4 linked regions of the Caenorhabditis elegans genome follow. The protein of the gene in region 3 interacts with the protein of the main gene of each other region in a pairwise test. Each region holds a gene or a part of one and is shown on either strand. Other genes may lie near its edges.

The links.
Region 1: the proteins of henn-1 (region 3) and rad-51 interact in a two-hybrid assay, tested with the Caenorhabditis elegans proteins (one large-scale study listed by BioGRID).
Region 2: the proteins of henn-1 (region 3) and ddo-3 interact in a two-hybrid assay, tested with the Caenorhabditis elegans proteins (one large-scale study listed by BioGRID).
Region 4: the proteins of henn-1 (region 3) and rip-1 interact in a two-hybrid assay, tested with the Caenorhabditis elegans proteins (one large-scale study listed by BioGRID).

What each region holds. Positions count from the first base shown.
Region 1 is NC_003282.8:10,278,874-10,287,425, forward strand, and holds rad-51 (DNA repair protein RAD51 homolog), read right to left. Parts: upstream 5,372-8,552; coding exon 5,347-5,371; intron 5,263-5,346; coding exon 5,183-5,262; intron 5,142-5,182; coding exon 4,860-5,141; intron 4,624-4,859; coding exon 4,477-4,623; intron 4,423-4,476; coding exon 4,265-4,422; intron 3,779-4,264; coding exon 3,687-3,778; intron 3,638-3,686; coding exon 3,361-3,637; intron 3,230-3,360; coding exon 3,103-3,229; 3' UTR 2,761-3,102; downstream 1-2,760. Other genes in the region: Y43C5A.4 (uncharacterized protein), read left to right, coding at 1-3, 74-597; thk-1 (Thymidine kinase), read right to left, coding at 792-920, 968-1,394, 1,442-1,555, 1,604-1,716, 2,668-2,694; ebax-1 (SWIM-type domain-containing protein), read left to right, coding at 8,133-8,192, 8,241-8,552.
Region 2 is NC_003281.10:6,586,158-6,593,434, forward strand, and holds ddo-3 (D-aspartate oxidase 3), read left to right. Parts: upstream 1-1,706; 5' UTR 1,707-1,739; coding exon 1,740-1,782; intron 1,783-1,826; coding exon 1,827-1,927; intron 1,928-1,972; coding exon 1,973-2,583; intron 2,584-2,631; coding exon 2,632-2,752; intron 2,753-2,795; coding exon 2,796-2,897; intron 2,898-2,942; coding exon 2,943-3,116; 3' UTR 3,117-3,241; downstream 3,242-7,277. Other genes in the region: acr-21 (AcetylCholine Receptor), read left to right, coding at 1-135, 288-392; F20H11.1 (Differentially expressed in FDCP 8 homolog), read right to left, coding at 3,323-3,401, 3,449-3,621, 3,672-3,902, 4,425-4,554, 4,601-4,865, 4,968-5,124, 5,549-5,697, 5,742-6,018; let-765 (Protein strawberry notch homolog), read right to left, coding at 7,108-7,196. UniProt on the Caenorhabditis elegans protein: Selectively catalyzes the oxidative deamination of acidic amino acids. Plays a role in the egg-laying events and maturation processes of the reproductive organs.
Region 3 is NC_003281.10:8,230,687-8,238,647, forward strand, and holds henn-1 (Small RNA 2'-O-methyltransferase), read left to right. Parts: upstream 1-1,964; 5' UTR 1,965-1,971; coding exon 1,972-2,013; intron 2,014-2,200; coding exon 2,201-2,652; intron 2,653-2,730; coding exon 2,731-2,865; intron 2,866-2,915; coding exon 2,916-3,270; intron 3,271-3,317; coding exon 3,318-3,431; intron 3,432-3,504; coding exon 3,505-3,605; exon of another isoform or gene 3,606-3,655; coding exon 3,656-3,785; 3' UTR 3,786-3,925; downstream 3,926-7,961. Other genes in the region: F-box/LRR-repeat protein fbxl-1, read left to right, coding at 1-122, 172-672, 1,061-1,139, 1,426-1,454; C02F5.14 (MBL fold metallo-hydrolase), read right to left, coding at 3,931-4,015, 4,077-4,309, 4,767-4,772; C02F5.5 (uncharacterized protein), read left to right, coding at 5,526-5,615, 5,660-5,974, 6,055-6,171; tsp-2 (TetraSPanin family), read right to left, coding at 6,298-6,540, 6,590-6,853, 6,901-7,035, 7,125-7,187; tsp-1 (Tetraspanin-1), read right to left, coding at 7,453-7,656, 7,697-7,762, 7,810-7,961. UniProt on the Caenorhabditis elegans protein: Methyltransferase that adds a 2'-O-methyl group at the 3'-end of PIWI-interacting RNAs (piRNAs) and small interfering RNAs (siRNAs) which are classes of regulatory RNAs that are involved in gene silencing in endogenous RNA interference (RNAi) pathways.
Region 4 is NC_003281.10:10,253,137-10,260,452, forward strand, and holds rip-1 (RFS-1 Interacting Partner), read right to left. Parts: upstream 5,606-7,316; 5' UTR 5,601-5,605; coding exon 5,458-5,600; intron 5,116-5,457; coding exon 4,842-5,115; intron 4,792-4,841; coding exon 4,677-4,791; intron 4,176-4,676; coding exon 4,078-4,175; 3' UTR 4,037-4,077; downstream 1-4,036. Other genes in the region: Coronin-like protein cor-1, read left to right, coding at 328-534, 1,301-1,438; R01H10.4 (uncharacterized protein), read left to right, coding at 1,787-1,941, 2,524-2,721, 2,771-2,890, 3,746-4,010; BBSome complex member bbs-5, read right to left, coding at 5,736-5,972, 6,358-6,942, 7,054-7,169.

The sequences.
Region 1 (8,552 bases), on a different chromosome or scaffold from region 3:
AAGGTGAGATTACTGTAGTGATCAATGGGGCGCACTTGCGTTTTGATTTTATTCGAATATTTTTTGTATTAAGGGAAGAAAAAGAAGAAGCTTTCATCTTCTCACGAGAAAAAGCGGAGTGAAAATAAAGCAAGAAATAATAAAAAGAAGCCTGTTGAACTGGACACAACGGATGAAGCCAAATCAACTGTTAACGAAGATGAGAAAGAGAAAAGTTCGAAGAGACCCACGGCAAAATCCAAAAAATCCAAAAAAGCTACTGGCTCCAAGAAGAAGAATAAGAAAACGAAAAAACCCGATGGTAGTGAAAAAAAAACACAGACGCAAACTGAAGATCAGAAAGCTCCTGATTCACCGAAAAAAGATGATTTCTTCGCTCCTCCTGGAGCTCCAGATCCAGTTCCAGCTGTGCCAGTTGAACCAAGTCCAGCTCCACCTGTACCAGCTGTTCCAGCGGCAGTTGAACAAGAATGGAAACCACCACCAGAATTTGAGCGACCGAAGCATCCTGGATTTGAAGCACAGCTGGAACCGAATGAAGAGAATAAAACGATTCAACAAGTGGCAACATTCACAGACGCTCAAGACTTCGTTTAGAACTTTATTCAATAATAAATATGCAGTTATGAAGTTTTAGTTTTTGAGAGATTAGAAAAAAGGAATGAGTTAGTTAACAAAAATCAGGTTATAGAGAAAATGTACCAGAAGTGAAAGTTTACAAGAAAGTGAAATAAAGTGAGCAAGGAAATCAGGTGTGTATGTGAGTTACAGACAAGTATTTAGATAAGACATTAAGTCCGAGCTGTGGCCTCCAGAGCCATTGACTTGCTCAATCCGATTTTCTTTCGTGGAGGAGACACGGATCCATCAGATCTTTGCTCTTTTTTCGCCAAGAAAATCCCAGTAATATCGTTTTCGTTCTGAAAAATCAAACTAATAACTATTAAATCGAATTGAGTTTTTATACCTTATCACAACCAGTTTTCATCTGTTCTTCAGCATCTTTTTCTTCGCTCTTTTGAACATAACATTCTCTGCAGAGAGCTGTATAAGTGTCCGAACCTCCGATCACCTCAACCTTTTTGTCCAATGTGCTGCGGAATGAGAAGTTTGCTTGCGATCCGCATTCGACACATACAGCGGTAACTTGCTTGATTTCATTCGCGTACGGAAGTAGCAAAGAAATTTGTGGGAACGGCTTTCTCTCGAATGTTCCATTGAGTGCAGCGACACAAACAACTTTCCCTCTTTGAGCAAGTTCTTCGCAAGTTTCGGCGAGATCTTCAAAGAACTGTCCCTCGTCAATCGAAACGACTTGAACCTCATCGTTGAAGATCTGAGATTGAACTTCAGAGAGACGATGAGCCTTGACAGTCCGTCCCTGGCCAGTCATCCTGAAATGATATTCAATGCTTTACAGTTTTAGGCTTGATCTACCAACTTGCTATGAGTAGCCACGAGATCGGCATCGTAACGAGTGTCTCCTGCATACTTGACAAGAACACATGTTCTTTTTGCAATTATCTGACGATCATGAAGACGAAGAAGTTCGGTGCTGAAAATAATATTGTTATGATCACTCTAAATTTAAAAATAAACACACGTTTTGCCACTGAACATTGGCCCCAGAATAACAGTGATAGAGCCAACACGATTCGGGCATCTGGGCAAAGTGTTGAAATCTGATAGAGATGAATTGGACGAGCAGCAAGTCATCTGAAAACACAAGTTTAGAAAAACTATTGTTTAAGAAACACTCATGATTCTAAAAATATATAGCTAAATGCGGCATCACATAAACAACGCATAGAACAAGTTAACCATCTTGTTTTTACTAGATCATTGGCTAGCGCCGATTGAGACGAAAATGTATGCAGAGTGTGGAAGAACTGGGGGCCCCGGGAGAAGCAAGCATCAAAATGGCCTGCTACAGAAAAAGGATTGCAGTCAGCTTTTCCGCGTTTTGAGATGAGCGTTGCGGAACCGGTCGCCGTCTACGACCGCCTTTTGCCATTGCAGATGAATATAGAAGTTGGTGTCCGAACGGAACGAACGGAGAAAATGGAGGGACGAAGGGCGGGGAGATATAGAACAAAAATAAGTGAAATTGTTGTTCGTTCTGTATTCTTAATTTTGCATGATAAAAAATGAATAGATGATTTTAGAAGTCTGGCATTGCACAAAATATATTTCGAGCAGTGAAAGAGCAAAAGGAAAACATATAAAATGTCTCGATCTACCATACTAAAGCGGAAAATGTAGAATCAGAAAATAAATTTTTGGCTCAACACGATATACAGTTAAAAATAAACTAGTATATCATAAATAAGTGAACTTTCTTATCAGGAGCCAATTAGTCATCTCTGACGTACAAATATTAACAATAAATTTCAAAACCTAAATAAGAATAGTAAAGATCAAAAGAGGGCAAGATCATGTTGAGTAATTTGAATGAGACGATGACAACAGGCAAGGGTCACACAGCTGTTCAGCAAATGTGCTGTGACCGTCGGTATTGCATAATAAGAATCGCTTTTGAGAGCATAAGTACGGACAGTTGGGTATTTTCAGGCAATTTTCAAGGTTTTTTGTTGTTGCCGGAATTTTACAAAGCAAAAATTCCACTCCACATTTTGCGAATAGGCAAATTAGAGATAATCATCTTACCTCATTCTTGGCCGCTTCAATGTCCATTTCAGTTAGTTGGATCTGGAATTATTGCTAGGTTAACATGATGAACACGCATTTTTAAAATACAGTATTAAAGGTTTCGAAAACCTTTATAAATTAAAAAGAACATTAGCTTATCAATACTGACATAATCAGTTCAACTATACGATTCATACAAAACGACGGGTAAAACAAAAGAGAGAGAGAGAGATGCACAAACCTATATATAATACAGATACAAAAAAGGAATGTAACGGAATAGTGAAACATGAGGGGCAGGCGAAAACTTTTCATAGAGAACATAGAACGCTAGATTTAAAAACGACCCAAATAAACATGATGAATCCGTGAAAGTGTGGAGAGAAACAGAAATGTGATATATTTATCGGGATATGAATGATGAAGTTTGATAAGAAAAAGAAAAACGAACGGCTAGTCCTCGCGTGCGTCCTCAATACCATGATTCGTGATTGAGTAGGTCGCTTCGGCTTCTGGTAAATTGGGTGATTGAACCATTTTTGCGACGCGATTCTCTCCTTTTCCTTTTCGAAGGTACAATCTGAAAATATGAATAACTTAATTTTTCTTCTTTAAAAAATCCTCAAAAAGACCACATGTAATGTTTAATAAAAAAATTAAATATGTTCTCTATTTGTTCAAAATCTTCAGAAAACCTCCAACTATGTTTACCTGGTAGTAGACATGTGAGCGATGATGTGACCTCCAATGGGCTTTTTAGCATCAGCCTGGAACATCGAGGCTCCTCCGTCGACTTGTGCTACAACTTGATTGGTAATAATTACAGCGACACCATATTCATCGGCAAGCTTGGCAAGGCATTTCAGAAAAGCAGAGAGCTTCATCTGACGTTCCGCTAGATCTCCTCTTCCAGTGTATTCGTTACGGAAATGAGCAGTTGCACAGTCAACAATCACAACAGCATAACGACTCTCGGACATCATTGCTCCTATGGCACGAAAAAGTTTATTTTTTTATTTTTTGAAATTTAGATTTACCTGCTCGAATAATCAAAGCCATCAAATGTTCTGAGTTGTATGCACGTGCAACAGCGATATTCTCGAGTACATGAGCACTGTCCATATTGTATCTGCAAGAAATTACTTCGATATTCAAAAAAATGCTACAAGATCCATAATAAGGTAAATTCTCAAATGCCAAAATTCAAGCCATGTGGCGTAAACCAGTAATTGTACAAAATGAGCCATTGCGACTTGTTCTCCAAACGTTTTTATTTCAAACTTAGTGATAGAATATAGAGAAATATTTACTTTATCTGAAAAAAAAAACTTATATTTGTTGAAACAATAAGGAAAAGGCTAAAAAATTGCCTGCAAGTTGAAATTCGCCAAAAAAAGACCCGGAACATCTCTGAAAGTTCATTTACGGCAATTTCCAACTTGCAGACCATTTTTGGCCTTTTCAATTGTTCAAGCAAAAATAACAGCTATTTTCAGACTGAGAAAATATGTTACTGATTTCTCGAAATAAATTTTAATTTTTTTTTAAATTTTCAAGTCGGGAGATCAAATTATGACAAATTCAGGATTTTTAAGAATAATTCTCAATCACAAACCTCTGAGCGATAGCAATAATTCGTTCGGGTCGAAAAGTGGCATTGGTATCAATATACATACATTTTCCCTCACCACCTCCCATATCAATCGGCAATTGACACAAGACTGCCAGACTGTGGCAAAGCTGAGTTTTTCCTGTTCTATATTCTCCGTAAACCTGAAATAAATGTTTTATTGAGTACTGTTGTCAGTTTATCCGTGATAAACTCACCTCAGTGATACTGCCTGTTTCGATACCGCCACCCAACAGTCTGTCAAGTGAAGCAGATCCAGTTCTGATCTGCACCAGCTGGCTTCGCTTCACATGAACCTCGGCTCCCGTCGTGAATCCCATCTGCACGAATTTCATGGCTTCTTTCTGAAATTAAATCATTGAAATATGAGGCCGATGTCTACATGTTCACAGCTGGTCGATTTGCCGTCAAAACTGACCTTGCAGCTGATCGTTTCATTCTTTTTCGGAGCTAACCTCGAAAAATGTATCAACTTTTCTGATACTTTCAATTCAATTAATTGGATTTTGAAAAATAAAGCCACAGAATTTTTAGTTTTTTTCTTTAATTCTCGAATAAGCTGATTTTTTGATATGCTCACCATTATCTTTTCAGCTTTCTGATCACTAATTCCTTTGACATTTCGGAGTTCGCGTCTTGTAGTAAATGCCAGCGATTCGTATGTATAGTATCCAGCTTCTTTTAGTTTTGAAATATCGCCAGAACTGATTCCTGAAGACTCAAGTTTATCGATAACTGTGAAGTTTTCATCTTGCTCCATCGCATTATCCTCGATTGCTGCATTGAGCAAAGCTTGATCAGCTGCACGCTGCTCTTGATCCGATTTCTTTTGACGACTTGCTTGAGCTGACATTTTTGACTCCTGAGATAATTTTAATTAATTATTTTTAAGTTAAAACATACAATTGGAAGGAAAAGATTTATTGAATGCAAATTCAAATTATATAGCCATTTATGTGTACATAGTGAACGTTTCGCAATCCCTAAAATCGGCATTTTTAACAGTGGAGCTTTTTTTTTCAAAAATTATGCTACACATTTACCTAAACTTATTTTTAAAATGTTACCTTCATATCCCCAAGATTGTCCCATAATCAATAGCAAAAGCTTTCTCTAGAGCAACAAAAATTGAGAAAAACATGGCCTAGAGACACGTGCCAAGTCCTTCCTCGAGCCCCCGTTCGCTTGACGAAAACAAGAACTTTCATGTTTTTCACAAGTTAGAACTGCTTTTGCTGCTCTACTATTTTTGTCGTCAACTACTGATTTATAACAGGATTAAGTCCACATATTTCTAGGCGTCAAGTTGAACGAACATATTTTCGAATTTAAGAATCACAATTTATGATTTATAGGTTTTTATTAAGGGTTTTCTTAGATAGATTTTCGTTTTAGAATAGAAAACATGGAAATTTAAATGCAAGTAAAACTGGCAGTAAATACAGAATTCTCAATTTTCAAAGTAGCGCCATTTGAAATTTTTTTTTCCGCTTTTTCGATGGCGCGCACTTGCTGTACTCTTGTTCAACACCTCGCCCTCCCGTCTCGTCCACTGCCGCTCGCGTGTGTGAAAGGCACCGATAGGAACGGGCCAGGGAAAAGGAAAAAGTGTAGAAAAAGACGATGCGCAGACATACAGCAAGGAGGGTCAGTGGACGCAATGGGGAAAAGAGAAGGAAGAGGACACCCAAATGTCTACTATGTACATTGTGTCCGAACCATTTTAAAACCAAAACTGGACATTAACCTTATCTTTTGCCCTTTTGAGCTTAATTTTTATATCACTTTTCTGCCTTAAAGCATTATTTTTTAAAGTACTATTCGTTTTTCAATCACTCGAACTATTAAATCTTTAAAACATTTTTTCTTGCAAGATTCTATGATTTTTGAATACTATTACTTATTAATTTATTAATACTTAGCTTAAATTTATATAATAATTTTTTATCTTGAAAATTGTTTTTCGTTGATTGAAAATTATATTTCAAATTTAGAATTGTTCGCAATTAAAAACGGGTAAAGCATGAAATATATTTCAGAAATCGAACAAAAATCAGGCTTTTTATTTTCCGAATATCAATTTCAAGCGTTAACCGAAGCGTTGTTATTTAATGACAAAAAATTTTGTTCATTTTAGGTTTTCATTCAAGAAAAGGAAGCAAAATTTAGCATAGCTGAAGACTTTTAATTAGTTTAACTCAAAAGCTACGAGAATAATCAAAAATTTAATAAAAAACCGCGCAAATCATTAGAGGATAATTAAGTTTTAAAACTAAAATGACAAAAAATGACAAAAGAAACAATGAGAAATCAAAACATGTTTCCTCCGTAAATCGACATTGAGTACTGTAGCGATTGGTCTCGCAGCGATGTTAATTTTCTTCTGTACTCCTCTCGGATAAATTTTATTATTATTGAACATGCGTATTAAATCGTTCATTGAACGGAAAATGGAGAGAATCGCAAGAAAAAAAATTATGATGAAAGTGCAAATAATTTAGAAAGGCTATGACACAGGTGATTCGCCGTTATAAAATACTTATGGCCACCAGTATTTTAGATGCAATTTGCAAATCGCTAATCTCGCTGCGGGACCACCAACATTCTAGCAATATATTGCTAATTGCGACTTTTAGTGCAAAATATTTGCTTCATCATATTGCTGATGCCTCAACTACATTCCATAAATATTTAAAAAACCGCGAAACACATGTGTATCTACTGATAAACTACATAAAGAAGTGAAATTTGTTAATAAAATCTTTGCATGAGAATTGTAACTAACTAGGGTAATTGATTTCATTTGGGCTTAAAATTAAACTCAACACATGATGAGTGAACAATTGGGATCGAAGTTTAGATCTAGAGGTTTTCCATCTATAAGTGAGCCGGTTACTAGTGCGATCAGAAGTTGTGAATTTGAAAAAATGTTTTTGATTAATATTAATTTCTCCACCAATTAGTTTCCTTTCAAACTTTTTGTCTTTTCTTCTAATGATCCAATTCCGTATTTTAGCCTACTTTCTGAAAAGTTCAGAAAATCTTTTTGAACTCCTTCTATTTCCTGTATTATGTTTCTAAATTTTTTTGGATTTTTTTTTGAATTACTGGAATGGAGATGTTTTAATAGGTCATTTACATGGTTATGTACAAATATTTTGACCAAATTATGTATTTACTGGGCAATATCACCTCTTTCAATAGGATTCTTTCTTTGTCCTCAAACTTTTCAATTTATGAGACAGAACTGACTGATTGTAATTTTATACCCAACTATGCAAATAGTCAATTCAATCATCTTAATTTATGTGCCAGTGATTCAAAAAAAATTCCAAAAAAATTTCGAATAAATTTTCGAATTGAAAATTTTAACATTACTTTGACCAGAAAGTTTGAAATTTTTTTTTTCAAAATTTTTATTTTGAAAACGTCTTAAAATGTTACCATGTTTATAACGCTTATTAAAAAAAAGATAAGACCTGAAAAAAACTCTTCTGAGTCATTTTATGAATCATTGATTTTTGTGAGAAAATGGCCTGAAGGGAACTTTAGATCTACTTTTTTTTGATTCAAAGTGTCCGCAAGCAGCTAAACTTTTCGTAGTGACTTTTTTTTGGAAAATGTTCTTTCAAATGAAATATGCTTCATTTCAAAGTCCATTAATACGTTGAAATACTTTCCTTGTAAGTTGAAAACTGAAGGTGTATCTTTAAAAATAAACAGCTTCTTGGGTGTTTGTTGTTTCCTAATAAATCTCTTAGATTTCTATGAATCCCTCAAATAAACATTTATTTTTTTCCAGACTTTCGTGTTCTACTCGTGAGTCCACTTCACACCTGCAAACGTTGGTGGTATGCTGCCAAATGCAGTGGGCAACAATGTATGGAACGGCCGCGATGATGTCTCATTTGAGGTTTGATTAATATTGAATATTATGATAATTAAAATAAATATCTTTTAGGATTCTGAGAGATTTGAGGAGGACTCACAAGTTTCACTAGACGAATCACTTGATGGAAATAGTCAGAATTGGAGAGGATGGACAGATTGTCAATCAAATTGTGAAGCAATCCAACCTGGACTTTCTTGTGTTGTTTACCAGCATTACAGTGCATCAGGACGGTTTTCCTCAGCATCAACAAGAACAGTGGTACCCGGGGATCCAAACAATCCATTGAGTCAACATCCAATGATGTCAAGAGGAGATGATTCAATTGGAACTCTGCTCACATTATCGGAAATTTCTGCAAGAGTTTGTGCGGAAAAATGGTCG
Region 2 (7,277 bases), 1.6 Mb from region 3:
CAACAGCCAATGGTCGATGAATTTGAAAAAGAGTTCTTGAGGGTTATGTCAATGGTTCACGGAATTATTGAAAGAAATGAAATGAGAGTTGCTGAAAAGGATAAACGAGATGCAATTGCTCTCGAATGGCAACAGGTACATTTTTTATAGTTGAGGCGTGTTTTACGATTGGAAAAGCTTCAAAATAAATACATAACAGTTTAGATTTTCGTATTAAAAAAAGATACTCAAACTTTCCGATTCTTGCATTTGTCAACTATATATGATTTATAAAATATAATTTTTAGGTTGCAATGGTGCTCGATCGCTTCCTGCTTGTGGTGTTTCTCATAGGCACATCAATGTCGACATTTGTAATATTGAATCAGCGAAATCTTTTTGAATCTACATAATGACGGGTTAATCAATAAATTCATTTGTATATCTCCCAAACAATATCCAACTGAAAGTAGTTTTAGCTGGTGCTACTGAGCAATTTGAAAAATCGTTCCGAAAAAAGAAGGAAAACCTAGTGATTCAAATTTTGCAGTTGGAAATGATAATCATTTCCATTTTCAATTTTAAAATGATGATCTTTCTAGAAAATTTGAAATATTAATTTGATCGTATGCATTCATTTAGAATTGAATTTTTTAAGAAATAATTTTTACCAAAATTGAAATTGACAGTGTATATTGAAAAGGAAGTAATGAAGAATCATGTCATGAAAGAAGTTCACAAGAGTTCCTGCGAAATCAAGCAGCAGCTAACGCCTTATTTAGTTTGTGGCAGATCTCCGAAACGTCTCGGCAATTCACCAACTTCCCACCAACTAGCAATGATTTACCTAATTTATCCAACTTAAATTGATTGGCATAGCACATAGCAAAAGTCACTAAAGTAGCCCCCCCCCCCCCTCAATAGTTGAGGCATTTTGCCGAGGTCATACCAATTATGAAGTTCCGAACACCAGAAAGAGGTAATGAAACCAAAAGTCGTGATTTTATTTGATATGCTCTCTAGCATAAAAATAATACATTTTGCAGTGCCTACATAATTAAACGGCTCTACATATGTGTTGCATTTATTGAAGCATCTTATATTAGGTCGGCAAATAATTATTGACGTATGTTGCCATTTTACGATTTTTTGTAAATTTTATATATGTGAGTTATAGTAGGCAGTGAGCATATGAAAGCATATGAAGTTCATCTACTTTGGTCATCTGCGTAGTATTAAGATTTGAAAAAATCGAAAATTTAAAAAAAAATTTTTCCGTGATTTTTTGAGTTAGCCGTTAAAAACTTGAATACTCAGAGTTCGCTTTGTCTTTATTTTGTGCTTATGAAATTATCTTAATCTTTTCCTTCTAAAAGGCAACCTCATGACCTCATGTGTTTCATGTTTTTTCAATAAATTCCGATTTTGACACTCCCAAAGTCCATCTACTCTAATTCGATTAAATGGTGATGACAAAGAAACGAAAAGGGAACACTTTTTCATACGTTTCCCTAGATTCACTGAACATTTTGCTTTCCCCTACAGAACTTGAAAGTTTAGCCAACAGATTTCAAAAGATCAAATTTTCGTAAAAATGTGCTTTTTGTGCTCCTCATGATCAGATTCCGTTACTTTTTGATTTAAAACTGAAATCTAAGTGCATTCCTATCCCACGGATTTCCACAGCTCCTCCTCTTTCTTTTTTTCAATACAATTTGATCATTTTTATCTTTATACATACATATTTAATCGCAGGTGGTATGCTGTATGCTCTTCTTCTCCTCTTTGGAGGAGTTTCAACAGGTTTGATAATGTTCAGACTTTTTCAGTTATCCTTTTATTTTCAGTGAGCTCGTTACGAGTTGCTGTTGTTGGAGAAGGCGTCATTGGTTTGAGCACAGCTACAGCAATTCTTGATTTGGCAGAAAAGAGGAACATTCCCGCTCCAGTAAGTTAAATTTGAAAGTCACAGGTGTTCAAAGTTGTGTTTCAGGAAATCCACATTTTCCATCACAAACCTTTTGAAAAAATTCTCAGTCGCCACATCGCTGGTCTCTTCCGAATCGATAGTGGATCAGAGATCGATAGAAAATATGGTTACGATACATTTGAAAAGTTGGCAACTCTCTGGAGAGAATACGGTGGTCTAAGTGGTGTACAACTAGTCTCTGGGCACATATTATCAGATTCCAAGACAAAGTTGGATTCACAACGTGAATCGTATGGAAGCCTCGTGTACAACTACCGGGATCTCGCCGAGCCGGAGCTTTTCGGTCCAACGTCGCTTTTTGATCTACCAAGAAACACGACAACTCGTGGAATTCATTACACTGCTTACACGTCTGAAGGTCTTCGCTTTTGCCCATTTTTGAAAAAAGAATTAATGACAAAAGGAGTTCGATTCACTCAACGGAGAATTGGAAACTTAGAGGAACTTGGTGCAGAATTTGATGTTGTTGTTAATTCAGCTGGACTTCTTGGTGGAGTTCTAGCAGGTGATGATGCAGGGAACATGAAGCCAATTCGTGGAGTGCTCATCCGAGTTGATGCACCATGGCAGAAACATTTCCTCTACAGAGACTTTTCTACAATTACAATTCCGGTGTAAGCTTTGCTTTTCTTATTGTTTTTCAAATTTTTAAGATCTTTCAGTATCGACCATGTCTACATGGGAACTGTGAAACAAGAAGGAGCATTTGGGCCAAACAATGTGACATCTGCAGATATCCAGGATATCACTAGCCGTTATGTGGCATTGCAACCATCTTTCAAGGTGGGTTAAATATTACAAATTAGAAGCTAGAAAATAATTCCAGCGTGTTCACATGCTTTCATCATTCGTTGGATATCGTCCAGGTCGCAAGCAAGTTCGTGTCGAGAAGCAGATTCGAGAGACCAACGGATCCAAGAAGTTTACGGTAATGAAGATTTTGATGCATCTAAAATTCTGATATTCCTTCCAGGTCGTCCATAACTACGGTCATAGTGGAAACGGATTCACACTTGGATACGGTAGTGCAGTTCATGCCGCCCATATCGTTCTCGATTTGCCACTGGATGCTTATCACGGACTTGTCCCAGAACCTCTTCCCATTAATGCAACGATTTCCGAATGGGTTAAATATCTTGATGATTAGGGTAATGGCACTTGTAATTGAAAGTCATAAACAATTTATTCTAATTTTGAATGTTGTCTGTTTATCTTTAGGAAAAAAGTCCAAACACAAATGTTCAAGTTAACAATAAAAATATTTTATTTTATTTTACAGTATTAGACAATATTTAAGGCACTCAATTATTACAATAGTAGGGGAATGTGGTTTTTAAATGGAATTTTTTGAAATTAATTTCTCACTGCTTCCTTCTCATCACTTGAACTCAATGTTTTCGGGATCTCAGTTCGTTTTCGACGTCGTTCACATCTGCAAATATACCAAATTCAAAACTGGTCTACTGTGGATTACTGTACCTTGGACAATTTAAACTTTTCCTTTCGAAGCATTTCTTATGGTAGACTGCAAGACACGTGGCACATGACCGTGTATTTTCAGTAAATGGATATAGGATTTTATTTTTCTGATCTACGTTGATGTCGTCGCAAAGTTCGCAGAAGAATCCATTTCCAGCACAAGTCTCACATTCCTTAATTTTTAAAATTAAAATTTCAATAATAATCTCCAAAAACCAAACACCTCTTCAATATGCTTTCTAAAAACTGTATGGATCTGTTCCAAATCGGGTAACAACGTGCCATCGCACAGCTCACGGAGTTCTTTCGGTGAATACATGACAGAGTTATCGACAAAATGTGAGTGAGCATTGAGGTACTGTAGGATTCGGAGACGTCTTGCCGTACGGCAACTAACAAAGTAACACTTCATCAGAAGAAAGTTTCGACGCAGTTCGTTTACTCGGCGTAGTTCCTGAAAACTGTCAGTTGAAAATGTATATTTCTTCAATTTTATTTGCTGTGGGCAAATATCTGTCACTTGGCACAGCCAATGTTTTAACTGCAACTTCGCGTCATGGCGCCGTTCGGGGGTATAGCTCAGTGGTAGAGCGCTCCCTTAGCATGGGACACAGGTGATTCGCGAGTACGAGTTTTATGCTTCATCCGAGGTTCGCGCGTGCTTCGAATGGGTACTTGAAAACATGAGCAAAAATGGAGAAAAATGCTCGTCTTTGCGAACGAACGCGAGCATAAAGGAGGCATTGCGAAAACAATTTATGCTTCTTTTTTTTCACTTATATCAGCTGAAAAAGTTCAAAATATAACTTCAGTTCTTGTATAAGCCACCCCCACTACCCGAAGACATGATTAAGCCACCTCAAGACATTTTCGCAAACACGAGCATTGTGTGCGTCGAAGCATTTTGCTTACACTGCGAATCACCTGTGGGAGAGGGTTGGGGTTCAATTCCCCATACCTCCAGAATCTTTTTTACCTTATGAAATTTTATGAGCGAAAGTGTTGACTCGTTTATATCGATTAACGGTCGGTGGTCTATGATTGCAAGTAATTGCTTGACGGCTCGGCAGACAGGTCGTGGTGTTGAGTCGAGATTGTGGACTATTCTAAAGAAATTTAATAATTTAGGTGTTCTTAAAGCTGAGATCTTACCTGGCAGGAATGCTCCAAACATCATTCCAGTGACAATTTGGGCAAAAAAGCTCTCCACTGTAATCACAAAGACGTGCTTCTTGTTCAGCAACTCCATCAAAGCAAATCGGTGCAGTACATTCAGCACATTGATATTCCTGCTCCGCGAGGCTTCGTTCCTCACACAAATTTGTGTTTAATTCGAATTTTGCTCGAGTTGACAGAACTCCGGCACACACTCGTTTCACCTCTTCCGCGCATTTGTCATGAGCACGCATTCCACAAACTGTAAAAGATTACTGTAATTCAGGATTGAAATGTTTCGATTTTTTCGTGATTTTGGCAAAATATTTTTTTTACTTCGAACGAAGTTAAAGTCTATCAATACCTCTGCATCGCCTCCACCATTGCACGAGCCTCCAAATTGTGTGCATACAAACTTCACAACATGGATTATGTCCACCTCTAACTGGTTGCATTACAAATTCATGTCCTTCAGCACGGCACTCGTCTAATGGAGATGACGTTGAAACAACAGCTTCATCCTGAAAACTTTCACTCTAAATTGGAAAATATAAAAACCATACAGCGTCGAAATAAATTAATTTATGTACTATTCATGGAGTTTTTGATGCACTTGGCCCCTGACGCAAAATTTTGCGGCAAAAACACAGTGCCCGGTCTCGACACGACAAACTGTATTAAATTCGAAAATGCGTGCGCCTTTAAAGATTACTGTAGTTTCAAACTTTCGTTGCTGCAAAATTTTTTCTTACGAATTGCTAAATTTATGAGTGATTTTTTTTCGAATACAATATCGATGAAAATTGTGCAGACAAAATTTTTAACCTACAGTACTCTTTAAAGGCGCACACCTTTCTGCATGTGCAAAAAAAACAATTTCTCCAGACCGGGTACCGTATAAAATAACAAAATTTTGCCTTTAAACCATATTCACTGTCTTCATACCTGCAAAGCCTGCCTCTCCAGTCCCAATTGTACAATTTTGTCGAAATACATTTGTTGTCGAGCTGCTTTTTGTTGCCTATCAAGACAATTCACAAGATTTCCAAGAACATCACGATCCTCCGGGAACTCTGTGTTAGAGACAATGTTGACTGTAATATTGCACATTTTTTACATAAAAATAGGAAACACCAACTAGGTTTCGTCTTTGTCTCTTTCCCATCCATTTCTGTATCTTCTTCATCTATGAGCAGTTCCTTTAGTTTATCTCTACAGTACTCCAATGCAGCTTTTATGCATTCCACGTGGTTTTCTGCTTCATTGCTGCGTCTCCAATCATCCATCATCTCTTGAACTTCTTTATCAATCTCATTTTCATCAATTTTTGAAATAAGCCAAGATGATTTACGGGAACGTGTGGAAGGAGTTGAAGATTGATTATGAGCATCTTCTGATGAACACCAAGAAGACATCTAAAATTTTAAGTCTTTTTGCAATTTTCTTTTTTTTTGTGATTCTCTAGCCAAAAATAATGTGTTACTATGAAAAATCGGCAGAAACGAGTTTGAAATTACAGTACTCTTTAAAGGCACATATCTTCTCGCATAAAAGAGAAATTGTCGTGTCAAGACCGAGTACTGCATTTTTTGCTCAAAATTGCAAAATTTCGAGTCTGGTCAATCAGAAATTTTGAAAAAAAAAACAATTAATTTTGTTTTTTTCTCTATATTATCTTCGTTATACGGAATTGCAATTTTATCAAACTATCTAGAAAAAAAGTATGATTGAAATTGATAAATCTCGACAATTCCAAACAATTCGTTAAATTCATCAACAATTCATTTTATTACACGTCTCAAATAACACAAATGTATCGAAAGGGAAAAAAAGAAAAAAAAAGATCCAGGTAGACCTCGAGAAAAATTCAATTTTTGGACGATTTATTTTTTTTCCATTTTCCCATCAAATTTTCCAGGTCAAACTGATAAATGGTTGGCAGTTTTGAGTTTATGTTCTTATCAAAATTGACCTTGAAACCTGGTGAAATTGATGGGAAGGATCGACCGGCCAAAAATTGAGGAAAAAGATGAAAAATGTATTGAATTGTAAGAGAAAACATGTGTTAAAGCTAGTGAACTCCAAAGGAAAAATGGGGAGGCCTGTTCCGAAATAAAACTTGTCAAAGAATTGTTTTAAAAATTCCTGTAAACCAGAAAATTGGGAAATGGAAGAAAGGGAGAGGAAAATGGAAAATTAAGCCAAAATTAATACAATTAGAAAAGTTATGATAATGATGAGAAGAAAGAGAAACAATGTGGAGAAAATAATTATAACAAATGTTGGTGGGAATTGAAAACTTTAAAAAACAATTCTCAGCGGGAAAGATGAAATGGGAAATTGAAGAAAACCAGATATTCGGTGAAGAAAAATGACAAAAAAGAGAGAATGTGTGGTATCTGCAGATATATATCTGTACTGAAAATGGATAACAAAATGGGAATCTAAAAAAAAAATAAACTGAAAAAAGAAAACCAAATATTTGGAGAGAAAACTGATATCGATCAGGGTTCAGTTTTCACGTAACTACGACCACAATGTGTTTCGAGTTGCTGCACCAAATGGCGGACGTGTGTGGGCAGGACGAGAAGGCCTGAATGATTTATTGATTGGTTTTTATTGTGGGAATAATAGTAGCGTTCAGAAATTATATTCGAAAATGTCTGCGCTCAAT
Region 3 (7,961 bases):
CAAATTGCAAGTCACTCGATACTCTGATCCTTCGTGGTTGTGAAGGACTTACTGAGAATGTGTTCGGATCTGTCGAAGCTCACATGGGAGCTATCAAGAAACTGAATCTTCTGCAATGCTTCGTAAGCAAACATTTTAAATGAAACAATTTTCGATAATTACTGTTTTCAGCAGCTCACCGATATTACAGTTCAAAATATTGCAAATGGAGCTACCGCTTTGGAATATCTGTGCATGTCAAATTGCAATCAAATATCTGATAGATCATTGGTATCTCTTGGACAACATTCTCATAATTTGAAAGTACTGGAATTATCTGGATGCACACTTCTCGGAGATAATGGATTTATTCCACTTGCCAGAGGATGTCGTCAATTGGAACGACTTGATATGGAAGATTGTTCCCTAATTTCTGATCACACTATCAACTCACTTGCAAACAACTGTACGGCTCTTCGTGAGCTCAGTCTTTCACATTGCGAACTTATTACGGACGAGTCGATTCAGAATTTAGCCTCGAAACACCGTGAAACGTTGAATGTTCTGGAACTTGACAATTGCCCGCAGTTAACTGATTCCACGTTATCTCATCTGAGACATTGCAAAGCTCTCAAGAGAATTGATTTGTATGATTGCCAAAATGTTTCAAAAGAAGCAATCGTTCGATTTCAGGTATGTTATATTTCATATTACAAACTTAAATACGATTTTATTAAAAAATCAAAAACATCTCTGAAATCTATTTTTTTTTTAATATTACCCAGAAAAAATTTGCAATTTTCGGGCAAAAAATACAGTACCCGGTCTCGACACGACAATTTTTTGTTAAATGCAAAGAGGTGTGCGCCTTTAAAGAGTACTGTAATTTCAAACGTTCGTTTCTGCGGAATTTTCGTGGTTTTTCATAGTTTCTCGACGAAAATAAAATAATTTATTTTTAAAACTTAAATATAACAAAAAAAATTAAACGACAGTACAAAGGCGCACACTTTTTGCACATAGCAAAAAATTGTCGTGCCGAGACCGGTTACCGTATTTATTACATGTTCTCCTATTTCAGCATCATCGCCCAAACATCGAAATTCATGCCTATTTTGCACCGGTCACTCCACCAACGGATCAGGTCGTAAACCGCGGTGGTATGTTGTTTTAAAAAAGAGCCCGCGAATATATATATAATATTCGCATGGTAATTATCCATTTTTCTCTCTTCACACAAACACTTTCAACTTGCACACATCTCTTTCAATTTATCGAATACAATCAGGCACACCCGGTCTCAAAAGGTATGTAAAAAGAAACAAACTGAAGGCATGGTGTGGCTGGTTGACACACGAATCTAACAAAATTGCGTGAATCTCTAGACTTAATACTACTTATTAGATTTCAATTCATTCATCTATTGCTCAATTATTTATTTTTCAGGTATATGTAGATGCTGTGTTATCTTATGACTGCATCTATGTGCCCTGTTCTACGCGATCTACAGAAAACTGGTACAAACTGACGAAATTGACGAAGTCTGACATCAACAGGGCACCGTGCGCTCACCGGGTTGAGGCACAACTTTGGTATTCAATTAAAAATGTTCTGAAATTTTGAAGCTTAACTATTCAGTAGATTTATATTGTTTCTTGGAAATTCTTCATCTATTGCCCGCTATTTTTTGTATTCCTTCGTTTCTATCCTGATCCTACTGTAGCTACTGGTAAATTTGTTGAAATTGTTTCCAAAGGGAAATCGGTGTAAACACGCTCCATAGAATTTTATGAATACGTTTTGTTTTTCTTCGGCGTCTGCTTTTCTCATGACTGTACATTTTTTTTCAATTCGAAATTATTTTCTTTTTCTGTCAAGAATAAAATACTTGCCCTCTTTACAAATTCATCAACGCGTCAGTTCTTGTTATTTTCTACACTTTTTATTTCTTCAAATCTGGATTATTCATTGAAATAATATTCCAGATTAGAAATGGCGCACACCAGCGATGGATGGGGAGCTCCATATGATAATGTACGTCAATTGATAGAAGAAAAAGTAAAAAGTTAAACATGATTTGCAAATATTTCGTCACAGAAAAACATATTCGGACCAGAAATTTTTTGTTTTAAGTTTGAAAAAAAAGCATAAGTTTAGATTTTACCAAAAAAAATCCCAATACATTATTCCAATATTACCGACGTAGTTTCCAAATTTTAAGCAAACCTACGTCGAAGCTTACGAACAACTGGAAATTGCACTTTTGGAGCCACTTGATCGTATTCTTGAAACGGCAAATGTTGAAGAGTTTCGTCCAAAGTTCAAAAACCATCAGGATCCAAATGATAGAAAAAATAAGAAAAATAACGATGAAGAATGGAGAGATTCCATTTATAATATCGCAACGGATGAATCGGATACTGATGATCATGAGCAGAGAAAGAACTTTTTTCAACCACCACTTCAAGTTCAAAGAAACTCATTCGTTAAGAATACTCTGATGGAATTCAAAAGATCTTCTCAAATTGATATCAGCCGACTTGCTGTGATGGGATGTGGAGAAATGTCGTTGGAGAAAGGAATATGTGAATATCTTGGATCTTTTGGAACTATCAATGTTCTTTCTGTCGATATTGATGAGCCTTCGTTGTCTATTGGACAACAGTTGCTGGGGTGAGTTGAGCTACATCTCATTTTAGATTTCCCATAAATATATTACTTTTGAAGTAAAGCTGAATCTATTTTTTTAAGAAAACATTTGGAACGTAATGCAGAGATCTTAGCTGTGGAAACAGGACTTCCAGTGCTGATGCGATCATATGTCGGAGATATTCTTGAACCAGATCATCGCTTTGCCGATGTTGATGCGATCGTCTCAATGGAAGTGTGAGAATTTAAAAATTTTCCACCAATCGATAATACGTAAATTATTTCAGCGTTGAACACATCCCTCTTCCAAATGCGAAAAAATTTGTCGAAAATGTTCTGGGGACTTTGATGCCACGCATTTTCATTTTTTCTACGCCAAATCATGAATATAATGCAGTATTTGGAATGGAGCCTGGCGAGTTTCGACATGGCGATCATAAATTTGAGATGAATAGGAAAGAGTTCTCGAATTGGCTGGAAGAGCTTTCAATTCGTTTTCCGCATTATCAAATCGATCCACCACATTACATCGGAATGACACGTGGCTACGAGAATCTCAGTGGTGCTTCTCAGGCTGCAGTATGTCGCCTCCAAGTAGATCTCAACACAACTCTTCCGCAAGAAGTTACACCATACGAAATGGTTCCTAAATTATTAAATATTGTTTAATTAGATTTTTATTTTCTCAGGTTGGGCACTTGCCGTGCAGATTGGGATCCCGATTGATTGCTTATAATCTTGTGAAAGAAGCTTTTTTGGATTGGTTGGAAAAGATTGAGCTTCAAGAGCACGAACCGAGAACGGTAGGTAACAAATTATTCAGATAACTGTAGATATACTATTTTTAAACATTTCACAATATTAGCATAATTTCAGGACGGCTACTCTCCTTATTGGATTTTTAATGTCCAAAACATTCTTCATCATCTGAAAGCGCCGGTCAGCTTTGCTCTCACTATTGATGAAAAAGTAGCAATGCAAGTTTCTTCAGTAATCGGAACAGTTGAATTTTAAATCTTATTTTCAGAAAATACATTCAAGGAATGACCAGTCGCAAAGTTCATGCCGAATATTCACACGGTTTTAATGGTATTGTCATTTTACAAATGCATTCAAAGGAAGAGCTCATCAAAACGGTTCAAGATAATACACTTTAAAATTGCATATTTATTTTCTCCTCATTCATTGATGTTTAACCGCGTATTTTTCATCAGCTTTATGTTTTTTATTATTCACTTCCGAATGCGATGTTCTACATGGATAATACAATTTTAAGTTCATAAATGGGTTATTTAAAATGTGTCACTTCTTATCAGTATCATCATCTCCAAAAAACAAACGGGACGGTAAAAATCGTTCAGCTTTGTTTTCCTTTGCATACGCTTCTCTGAAAATAACCACTGGAATATTTTTTATTGCTCCAAACACTTTTCCAGAATACGACCTACTTCAGAGCTGCAAAATCAATATGGGTTGGAATAATTTTCGTATCCTCTTCAGTCAAGTTTCGTGGAATTTCAGCTCCATTTGCATGATCGATATTTGAAAGATCCAAAATAATAACATCTCCATCTCCTCTTACTTTTGGTACAAATGTGTCACTAATATCATCTTCGAACATATGCTCCAAAGTACAAGATGTTAAGAGAAATGAAGACAGAAGTATGGATGCAGTGATATACTGAATGAATGCTATTATTTACCAAAACGCGAAATTCTACGATTATTCCCTCAAAAGTACGGTATCCGGTCTCGTTACTACTTAATTTTGTTGAAATGCAAGAAAGTACGCGTCTTTGAAGAGTACTGTAATTGTAACTTCCGTTGCAGCGGAAACACATTAATTAGGTCAGAGACTCAAATATGACAATAAAAAGCACACCAATTTTGTAAAAATTGTGCGAAAAGCCATGGAACCCCCATTCAAATTCTGCAGCAGCGAGAGTTTGAGATTACAGTAATCTTATAAGGAACACACTTTTTCGCAATAAACAAAAATTAGTCGTGTCGAGACCCTCCACCGTGTTTTGAGGGCCAAAACTAAAAATTTCTCAAACTCATCGAAATTTAATAATAATAGGTCTAAAACAATCTCTTTGCAACATCTCAATTCTCAATCGAAACAAATTAAAACATACCTTCATTTCTCGGAGATATAAAATACTGGATCGAAACCAATCAAACCGAGACGAAAATTTCTCGTATTTGATATCAGAAATTGTTCGGTTTGCGACGCTTTTTAACAAGGCCAAACAAGTGAAAGTAGGCGGAGTTTATGGTCAAATCACCGGATTTTTGGAAGATTGTTTTCTCTCGGTTTCATCCGACATTTCTCTGCCAAAGATACTGTAGTGATCGAAGTTTTTGAAAACATTTATTTAAATAAATACTTTTTGGCATTTGGTTTTTCTGAACACAGCACATAATCCCGGACGCCTTCTTTTCTTTTCAAGGTCAACGCGTAAACACATAATTCAGAGGACAGGTTCTCAGTTTTTCAAATTTCAGTTTATGTGGCAAACATTTCACGAACCAAGGGTTTTTGGTAAATCACATTTCAAAGACTATAGTCTAGAGACTATTCTGAAAAGTTGAATTTTCTTTCACTTATGACAACACAAATATACAAACAAGTGTTAGAGAAAGTTGGGATTTTTGATTAATAAGAAACCAAAGAAACAAACACTTTTCGAGTTCATATTTTTTAAATTCCAAATTAATACAAATATCAAAAGGATGAACTTTTATTTACAATTTAAAATACACTTGACCTTTTCCTTTTTCACCGTGGCACAAAAAACCTTAGGGTCATTTGTAAGCGTATTTAACCATAGGATTCAAATTGTTTTATTATTCGTAAATCGATCCTCCATTAGCATCTCAAATTCTCTCCATCAATGTCGTATATGGAACAAATCCCACCTTACGAGTACTACAAGTACGTGTTTGGAACCAGATGTGCCGTTCTTGCATGCTCATCTTTTGAGGTTTGTGGTTTACTTATATTTAATTCCAAAGAAAACATTTTCAGCTTATGATGGTGCTCTTAGGTTCACTTGGAGATAGTAATGTTCTTGCAAAACTCTTCTATCTCGTGTTCCTTGGTGCTTCTGCTGCAGTTTCTGGTTTCAATCTTCAACAGAACATCGATGGTCGTGATGAAATTAAAAAGATCACCGGATCCGGAGACAATGAGACTCGTGGAAAAGCAGCTGCTCTTGTCGGGATTCCAGCTCTTGCTGCAGTTTTTGTGTTCCTGTGCGTATCAGGTCATGCATTCTTCTCGTTGTTCGTGTTGGTTCATGTTCTCGCTTCAATCGGACAACTCGGTATTGAAGCTTACGAGGTAATGATTCTAGTTATTTAGATTTCAGGATAACAGCAAGATAATCTACAGGACTGCTCATATCTTGATTATTTTTCCAGGTGAGAAATGGATTCTGTATCAAAGCTCCAGAAAACAAGAAAGCTGTAGCTGATTCGTACGATCAAAATTATCAAATTTTGAATATGGTTCAAGACAGTGTTTTTGACAAGAAGTGATCTCTTTTGTTCCCATGGACTATCTGCATTGAATAAACGTGAAAGTTGCTGATTTTTGTGTATTATCTGTTTTTATCCAAAACATTTTTTAATACTGCTACGTACAGGGCCATTAATGAGAATTTTTTATTCCGAAGATTCCCATGCAGGATTCTCATGTTGTGCTTCTATCTTCCTCAGCACATTTCTGGGTTCAAATACTAAAACCAAGACGGCAGCACCAATGATGACAATTTGAAGTAACAGTACGGGAATCAAGATAATTCCAGAAATCATCATTGTATTATCAACACTATTGAATAGAGCAATATCACATGAAGGAGCATTTGGACATTTCCATTGCCCATCTTGAACTCCACAGCAATTATACTGAAAATGTTTTCGATTTCAGTGGATAATGAGTTATCTACTGGCCTACCGTGTTTTGAATTATGGAAATATCAAAAACAGAGTTTGTCAAATAAATATCATTTGCAAAACGATAAAGAAGACTCCGAAGACTTCCACGCTTCGACCAAAGAGCAATACTTCCACCGAGCTCCATTATAAAGAATATGACTATTAGAACTAGACATGTGGCTAGTACAGGCTTCTTTTGGCTAATTGCTCCAATTAATCCAATTATGGACAGGGGACCGGCTATAATGCAAAGCCCGTAAATGCTCCAGTAGACTGAATAAATCTGAAAAGCTGGCTTTGTTTGTAAATGTTTTATCTGTGATAACTGACCCAAGATCTCATGTCGAATTTATCATCTGCCAAAGGTTGAGATGAATTGTAATTGAAAACTACATCTTTGAGATCACGTTCATACGATTTATCCTCCATCAGAGAACCCCAGATATCTAGTCCGATTGAGCAAAACTGAAAATTAAATAGAGCTCTAGTCGTCACATAGAAACAAATTAAAATCAGAAAGACTTTCAAAAAAGTGAGAAAGTACAGTAACCCACCAGCATTGCAAGACTCAAACAGAATATTGTGATCCTTGAAATAAAGGCAATCCTTGACGTCATTCCGATCTAAATTCTTCCGAGATGTTTTAATATTATCAAAAGGTATACAAAACTCGTCAGTTATATCATTTTGACCGTAAAATACGGGGTGGAGTTATAAAAAAATGATGTTACGAAATAAGATAAGAAATGTTTACTCAATGATTAACCCGTAGATAACAACAAGACTATAATTACAGTAATGAAATTGACATGTAATCAGGACACATTACAACGTGTGGAATGATTCAGAACAAATGAATGACAAGGGTACTGTAGTTCGTCTTTAAAAACGAGTGTCTTCGGTGATGTCCGCAAGTTGGGTTACTCTTGGCTCGTAACTGTACTTGTAGGTTTTCTTCCTTGAAATCAATATGGGAACTGGAAGAATGATAGCAATAGTTTGAAGGATCAGAATAACAAGAAGTATGATTCCAGATATCATCATAGTGTTATCCACACTATCAAACACTGCCACATCACAATGAGGCTGAAAAAATTGAAATATTAAGTTTATGAAAATTCAATACCTTTTGGGACATTGGACCGCAATACATAACGTTGAATAGTGAGTTCTCGATACCGCAACAGTTGTACTGAAAATTAATGCATTATTAAAAATTCCTAATTTTTCAGAGCCCACCTTATCCTGAATAATCTTCAAATCATTGACTGAGTTTGTAGTATACATAGCATCAATCAAACTGTTTGTATTATCATGCAATGAATTTCTTCTTACAAGAACAGCCACTCCACATCCAATTTCTAGTGAAACTAGAACTATGATCAGTACGA
Region 4 (7,316 bases), 2.0 Mb from region 3:
TTTTGAAACTTCTAGGCCACCAAGTGCTCGCACGTGGCCTAGGAAATCCAAATTTCTCAATGTGAATTTTTCTAGCTCATGTGTATTCAATTTGCGGCCTAGGATTTTCAACTAACAAAAACTGCACATTCATTACTCAATTTTGATTGAAAACCTTGCCAAAATCAATTTTCAAAAGTTCTAGGCCACCAACTGGGCTCTCGTGGCCTAGGGATTTTGCCGATCGCTTCTTTTGAACTAAATTATTTAAAAAAAAACTAATGCTAATGATCCCCACTTCTCCAAAAAAGCACCATCCTATCACTTTCACCTTTTCCATTTTTCCAGGTTCAACTGAAATCCCGTGCCGCCCGTGATGAGCCCGGAGGCGGTGCTCAAACTGCCGGTCAGAGAAGAGCCGCCGCCGAGTTGGAAAGGATCAAGAGAGATCAGTCAAGAACCGCCGATGAGGACAACACTCTAGCTCCACCTCCATCTTCTTCCCGAGCTTCTGCATCGCCACGTGGCAGTGTATCAGCTGCGTCTGACGTAGGGGCACGTGTTTTTTACTGTGCTTACCAACTAAAATGTTGTTTTTCTAGAAAACAAAAACACGTTGACTTTTAACCAATTAGTAAGAAAATTAACAATTTTTGTGGGCCGTGGCCGAGTTTCCAGCAATAAGAATTGGGAACTTACAAATTAAATTTTAATTAAAACAAGCTTTGAAAAATTTCAGTTTAGTGTTTTACTTTAATTTTATTAAAAAAATGTCAAGCAACGTTTTTTTCTAATTTTCAAAAAATAACTATAAAATATGTTTTTCAAAAATAGAAATAAAATTCGAAAAACCAATTTTCCAAATTCATTAACATCAACTGAAATCTTTAAACGCCACGGCCTAGAAATCGAATTCTAGGCCATGAAAAGCCCCACCGTAGCCTAGGATTTTCCCACTACTAAAATGTACATTCTAATATGTTGTTATTGTTTTTGTGTTTTATAATAATATTCGTTTTTCTTCCAAAAATTGGACCGACATATTAAAAATTCAAATTTTTTATTTTCTAGGCCACCAGTAATACTATCGTGACCTAGATTTTGAGAATTTAATTTTTATCCAATTTTGCCCTTTTTATTTTCTAACGAAAAATTAATTATTCAAAAAGTTTTCTTATCCAAAAACGGGTGGCCTAACTTTTCTAAAGGCCCCAGAAAGCCAGGCAACTCCAAAATCCCTTTTTTGTTTCAAAATTTACAAAGGTGTTATAGTGAAAATTCTTGTATAATTTAAAAATTAATTTAAATAAAAAATTTCCAGCACGTGCCTCAGAACATGGATGAGCTTTTGGAAGATCTGATGAAAATGAAAGCTGTGCTTCGGCAACACGAACGTCGCATTCGGATGCTCGAAGAGGAGATTGCTGATCGTAATATGAGCAATGCTTATTCTTTTTGAACATGTTTAATTTTTTGAAAGAAAACTTTTTTTTCGAAAAAAAAAATTTCAAAAAAAATATCGATAATTTTTTATTTGTTTGTTTGTAAAAAGTGTGTTGTATTGTATTGCAACCTAATAAATGGTAACTTTTTCATTTCTCTTTTTTTTATTTTTCATCTATCACTTCCCGGGATTCCGGTTTCTCCCCCTCCCCACAGTGTCCCGAGGAGGCTACGCCGCCTCCACACTTTCGATTCCGACACCCGATTCAGGCGCGAATTTCCCTTATCTTTTCTTCTCGCTTATCAACTACACAAATCCACAATCATCTCAGTCTGATATAATCCTTATAAACTTTCCAAAAATATGGTCCCTCGTTTTCTAGTATTCTCAGTTTTGGCTTCACTTGCAACTGGACCACCGACTGCTGACGCTTTCTTGGCTTCGGCGTTCTCGTCGGTATCTCAGGCGGGAAAAACAGCAAATTGTCATGATTGGAGTGAATATGGACCTTGTTTCAGGTGATTTTTAGGAGAAAAACCAACATTTTTGGTGGGGAGGGTCGTGGGCTCCCATGCAGTTTTAAAAAATTCGCTTGTCCAAAGCTTTTTTTCCCGTATATTTAAGAAACTCTAAACTATCAACAAAATCTATTACATAAGGCGGCAATCATGACGTAACAGCTGAAAAATCGGTGGCCGAATTTTCTCTATGACGGTCCCGTTTTGTTTGTAAATTCCTATTTTTCAAAATTGCTACAAAATTTTTTTTTCAATTTCCAAAATCAATTTTTGAAAACTTTTCTTCTTTAAAGATATTGATATCACGTTTTTCTTATCATTTGACCTTATCATTAAAATATCACCTGAATCTTTAACATAGGTCGACGCTTACCACGGGGTCGCGGGCAGAGAAAACTCGGTCAAGCTCAAGAAATTTGAAAATCATAGCAATTAAACCGTCCATGTAAAAAATAATCAATGAAACCAAGATGTTGGAAATTGTTTTTTTTTCATTTAAAAATCTTCCCTCGTACATAAATCAACACCCACAATGTCAACACATTTTAATGGCCTAGTTTTCCACTGCTCTTCCATTTTCAGCACTGCAGACCGATCATTCTGGCGTACGCTTCCCCAGCAATGCTACCAAAACCGTTACATGTCCCTCATCACAGGAATCGGTAACCCAATCGTTCAGAAAGTGATGGACTACGCGGAGCTCTTCAACAAATCGGCGACGGCATGCGGAATGTGCAATGTTCAAGTCGCGTGTTCACCCAGATGTGATTATGTAGCTGGGTAAGGGTGACAATTGCAACACGCACAACAATAAACAATTCATATTTAGAGGCAATTCAATCGGTGTTGTCGACCGGATTTGTGATCTTCCAACCGAGAAACAGGCGTGCGCAATGACTCCACAGGCATTTGACGAGGACACTGGACTTTGTAGAGTATGGCCACCGAGGTGAACTTTTCATTTTTTTGGTTTTTTGGTTTTTTGAATGTGGAGTAGCCAGGCCAGTGGGGGAAAATATAAAAATCGCAAAAACTTCAAAGTTTTTTGAATAACTTTTATTGACAGTCAAAAAGTGACATCTACTAAGTTTTTTCCACTTTTTGAGAAAATTAATATTTGGAGTATAAGTGAACCATATAATCGAAGGAACACTTTTTTATCGAAGACTTCCAAAAAAGTGGCAAAAACTGAGGTGTTTCACAATTTTCAAAAAATTATATAAAATTTATAACTTTTTTCGAGTTTATCTTAATAAAACACTCCGAAAAATTTTAGTCATACAAAAGGGCAAAGTTGGCAAAGTAGGTAAAGTGCCAAAATTTCAAAAAATTTGACTTTTTGAGAACGTTCGACCAGTCACGCAGATTTGAACCCCTACAATGTTTATTTACAAATTTTTTAAACAATTTTAAAACTAGAGAGTTGTAGAAAAAATACCATTTTTTGATCGAGTTCCAAAATTGCCAAATTGCCATTTTTTGACTGCGTTAAAAATATTTCCAAAATTGTTTACTATCGTATTTAGCCTTTTTAGATCTTAAAAAAGCCATTGGAAATTTTTTTGATCTTTAAATCTTTAAATTTTCCTTTCTTTCTAATTAAAATTTCGAAAATATAGATACCTAGGTTGAAATGGATTTTTTAATAGTCGAGAATTTAGCTGAAATTGTTGTATTCTTTTTAAAGTAAAAAACTTCGCTATTGTTCAATTAAAAAAATACCAAAAAAGTGTGTCAAGACAATTTTTATAATGGTGGACGAGAAAAAACTGAACCCCTAAAATTAATTTTTTTTAAATTCCAGACATACTACAGCCGTGGATTTCCTTGGTGCAATTGTCCCACCAACAATTCGAGATCAAGTATGGTCCTTAAAACCGCTAAGCTGCATCAGTATAAGCGGAAAATGTTATTGTTGCTGTGCTCCGTATACTCCAAATCCATGTGATGCTCAATGCACACTTCATCCATGTTCCCGGCGGCAAACATTTTCAAAGACTCAAGTCAAGATTTTGAGGCGAAAATGGCTTCAGAAACAAGAGGAGCGACGTGAGGAAGAGGAAGAGTGATTTAATTTAAATGAAAAAATCAATAATAAATTTTGAAAATTCATTTAATAAAAACCTTAATAAAAGTCTAAAAACAATTTGAAAATTTTTCTTCGTTTCCATCAAACAATAGCACATTCTTTGTGTAGATTGATGCGACTCGCTTGAGCTTTTCCAGGAATTCTTCTGAAAATTTTTTAAAGTTTTAAGGTACTTTCCAGAATATATTTTCTGAATTTGGAAAATATAGAAAACTCACTTTAAAAGAATCTGGTAATTTTAAATGGGTCAAGGCTGAATCTGAGAATCCTAGGCCACCATAGAACGAGTGGTGGCCTAGAATTTTTCAGATCTAAGAATTTGGTAATTTCTTAGACCTCGGCGTTGTTCAGTGTCACAAGTGTTTTCAGGAAATTTGCAAAATTACGTATTTTCCTGGGAATAAAAAAAATTACAGCAGATTCCTGGAGTGAGTCAAAAACCCTAGGCCACGGTAGTACGCGAGGTGGCCTAGCATTTTCAGTAAGTTTTCAATAAGTTTTATTCAAAACACATCGAATAAAACTTATTGAAGTTTATTTACGATTGGAAAAACACTAAACACACTATTCGAAAATGTTAGGCCATGGTTTACATAGTTTCAATTTGATTGAAAATTTTTATTTCGGCCGGCCACTTTTTGTTTACCTTGAGTTTGAGTTTCGCGAGGCTCATTACTCAATTCCTTTGGATTTTCCACGATTTCTTCCTCCAGAAAATTCGCATTCTCAAATGGATCAGATTCCTCAACTCCTTCCTGCTTCTAAAACCATTATCAGTTATAGTTTATAGTTTGTAGTCTACAATCATTACCTCATCATCATTATCATCTCTCAAATCAATCACGACGACCGCGCGGCCGTCATCTACATTACAAAAATTGGCGAGTGCGGCGAGAAGGCAACCGAGTTCCGGGCAGTCCTGCGGGATGCTCATTGAGCAGAAAATCGCTGCGACTTCAGAGCCGATGCTTGCTTTGAGCGCTATGTCGATACATCCTTGCAGAAGCTTCTTGGAACTGTAACCAAAGCGAATTCTTCGCAGAGCGCCAGCTTTCATCGAGAACTCCACGTCGATTTCAGGGATTCTGAAAATGAAATTTGAAGTTTCCCTATCACCGAAAAACGAATTGTTTCAGTCAAGTTTTGAGTCACTACCCGCTATGGAGATCAATTCTGTATAATTTAAAAAATCAAGTGGCCGAGTTTTTCCCCATTTCGCGACCACATATTATCATATATGTTACGAACCACGTGGTATTAGGCTGTCCCATTACGGATTGATCTACAAAAAATGCGGGATTTTTTCCTAAAAATGTGACGTCATCACACTCTTAACCATGCGAATTCAGTTGAGAAGTCTGCGTCTAAGCTCCCGCGATTCTCGTAGATCAAACCTACATGGGACATCCTGACACCACGTGACAAACCTCTCCAACGCTTTCCGTCTCGCCCAGAAAATCGTATCATCCGGATTCTGGTCCGCCCAGCGGATTGCCTTGGCAAATAGGTGATCATCGATTTTCGGGGAATCAGTAAAAACTACCGTTAGGGAATTGCACGATTCTGACATTCTGGAATTGATCTACTCTGAGTGTGGCCTAGAATTTCACAAATATGTACACGTAAAAATTACGGCAACTGAATTTGATATAACAAAATGTTAGTTCTCCAAATAAATATATTCATCTTCAGAAAAAAAAAAACGTTATACATCAACATGAATATTCCAAAGATCATGAAGAGTGAATCCGTTACGAATCGGTTCAATCGCCAATCCCAACTCGGGGTTGAGCACCGGTAGCTGCTTCTCGTCAGTCGCGGTGTGCTCCCCGTCAAAGTATGAAGCAAACGCGTCGGGACGGATTTTATCGTCGATTTCTACGTCATCTTCGTTGTTGTCTATGATGTCGATTTCATCGTCGTCCTTGCGGGGCTCTACTTTCTGTAAATGTTTGGTTTTATTTGAACGTTGCAAAATTTTCTAATTTTGCTGAATCATAGGTCAACTTTTGCTGAGTGATCACTTTTATAAGGTGTGGGAGCGAAATTTTGAAAAGGGTCGAAAAAATTGAGCATTGTGGTTTTTGAGGCAACATCCAAAGTTCAGGGAAAGTTCCGCTCACGGCAGTTCAAGTAAGTAGGGTACTGTAGTTTAGGGTAGGATCCTACGTATTGTAGAAACTATAAATTATATAGCCTATAGGACGAGTTCCAAAAAGCCTTTATTTGAAAAATCTGAAGATGATTCTTCATTGAATCATGTAGTAAGGTGCACTAAAACAACATAATGCTAGGAAAGTCGGTGACGTTTTTCATTTTAAAAATACCTCGGCAATCTCCTTGACATACGAAACTCCAAAGATTGGCTTCAACAAATGCGCCTTATGAAGTGATTGTACAGTTTTCAGAAGATTTTGTAGACGTTCAGCAGGATCAACTCTGAATCCCAACACGTACTCTCCGCTGCTGGTAGTTGTCTCAAGAACCAGCGCCATTCCAAACTTGGACTCTCTAACTCTGACTGAATATAGAGTAATGTAGGGGACCGAAACATTGTATCCGATGTTCATCTCTGCGTACCAAACGACACGAATATTCGTGATCACAAAGACTCCGAGACTTCCAGTCTCCGTCGACAGATTCCAGACACCGTTCACCTTCTCGATGATCGTCTCTTGTGGAAGGATCTTCAGAGTTCCGTCCTCACGAATAAACACCCCGCGCATTTTGAGCTCTCTGTACATTTTGGTGGTCTCGTAGGCTCTGCTGATTGATGAGATCGTATTGAAAAGTTTCGAATGAGATGCAGGATTTGTGGTGGTGAAGATGAACTCAAATTTTGTAGTGGTCGCCGAGACTTTGGCAAGTACGTAGATTGCTTCATTGGATATACCACGGTTTCTTGTGACTAGCTGAAACTTTTTTCTTGGAAGTTAAAAAAAGATTATGAGTTTTGATAGGTGGCCGCGAAAAGTAAAACTAGGCCATCGATTTTTCGTTGCGAATTCGACAGTAGAACCCACCGAAGTAGTCTGTTTGCTCTGTACTCCGGTGATCGCATTCCACCCAATCGTGATATTGATCCGAGGCATTGAGGCGGCATGCCAGATTAGGCGTAAGTTGGTGACTCGCATCGTTCCTGAAAGTGTGTCAATTTTTCAAAAAAAAAATCGCGCTTCTTTCAATTTTTCTCTAGTCTAGAGTTTGTAAAGTATGGGCGACCCTAAAAAGAAACGATGCAAATCTGCAAATCGGCAATTGCCGAAAAATTGCCGGAATTGAGGGA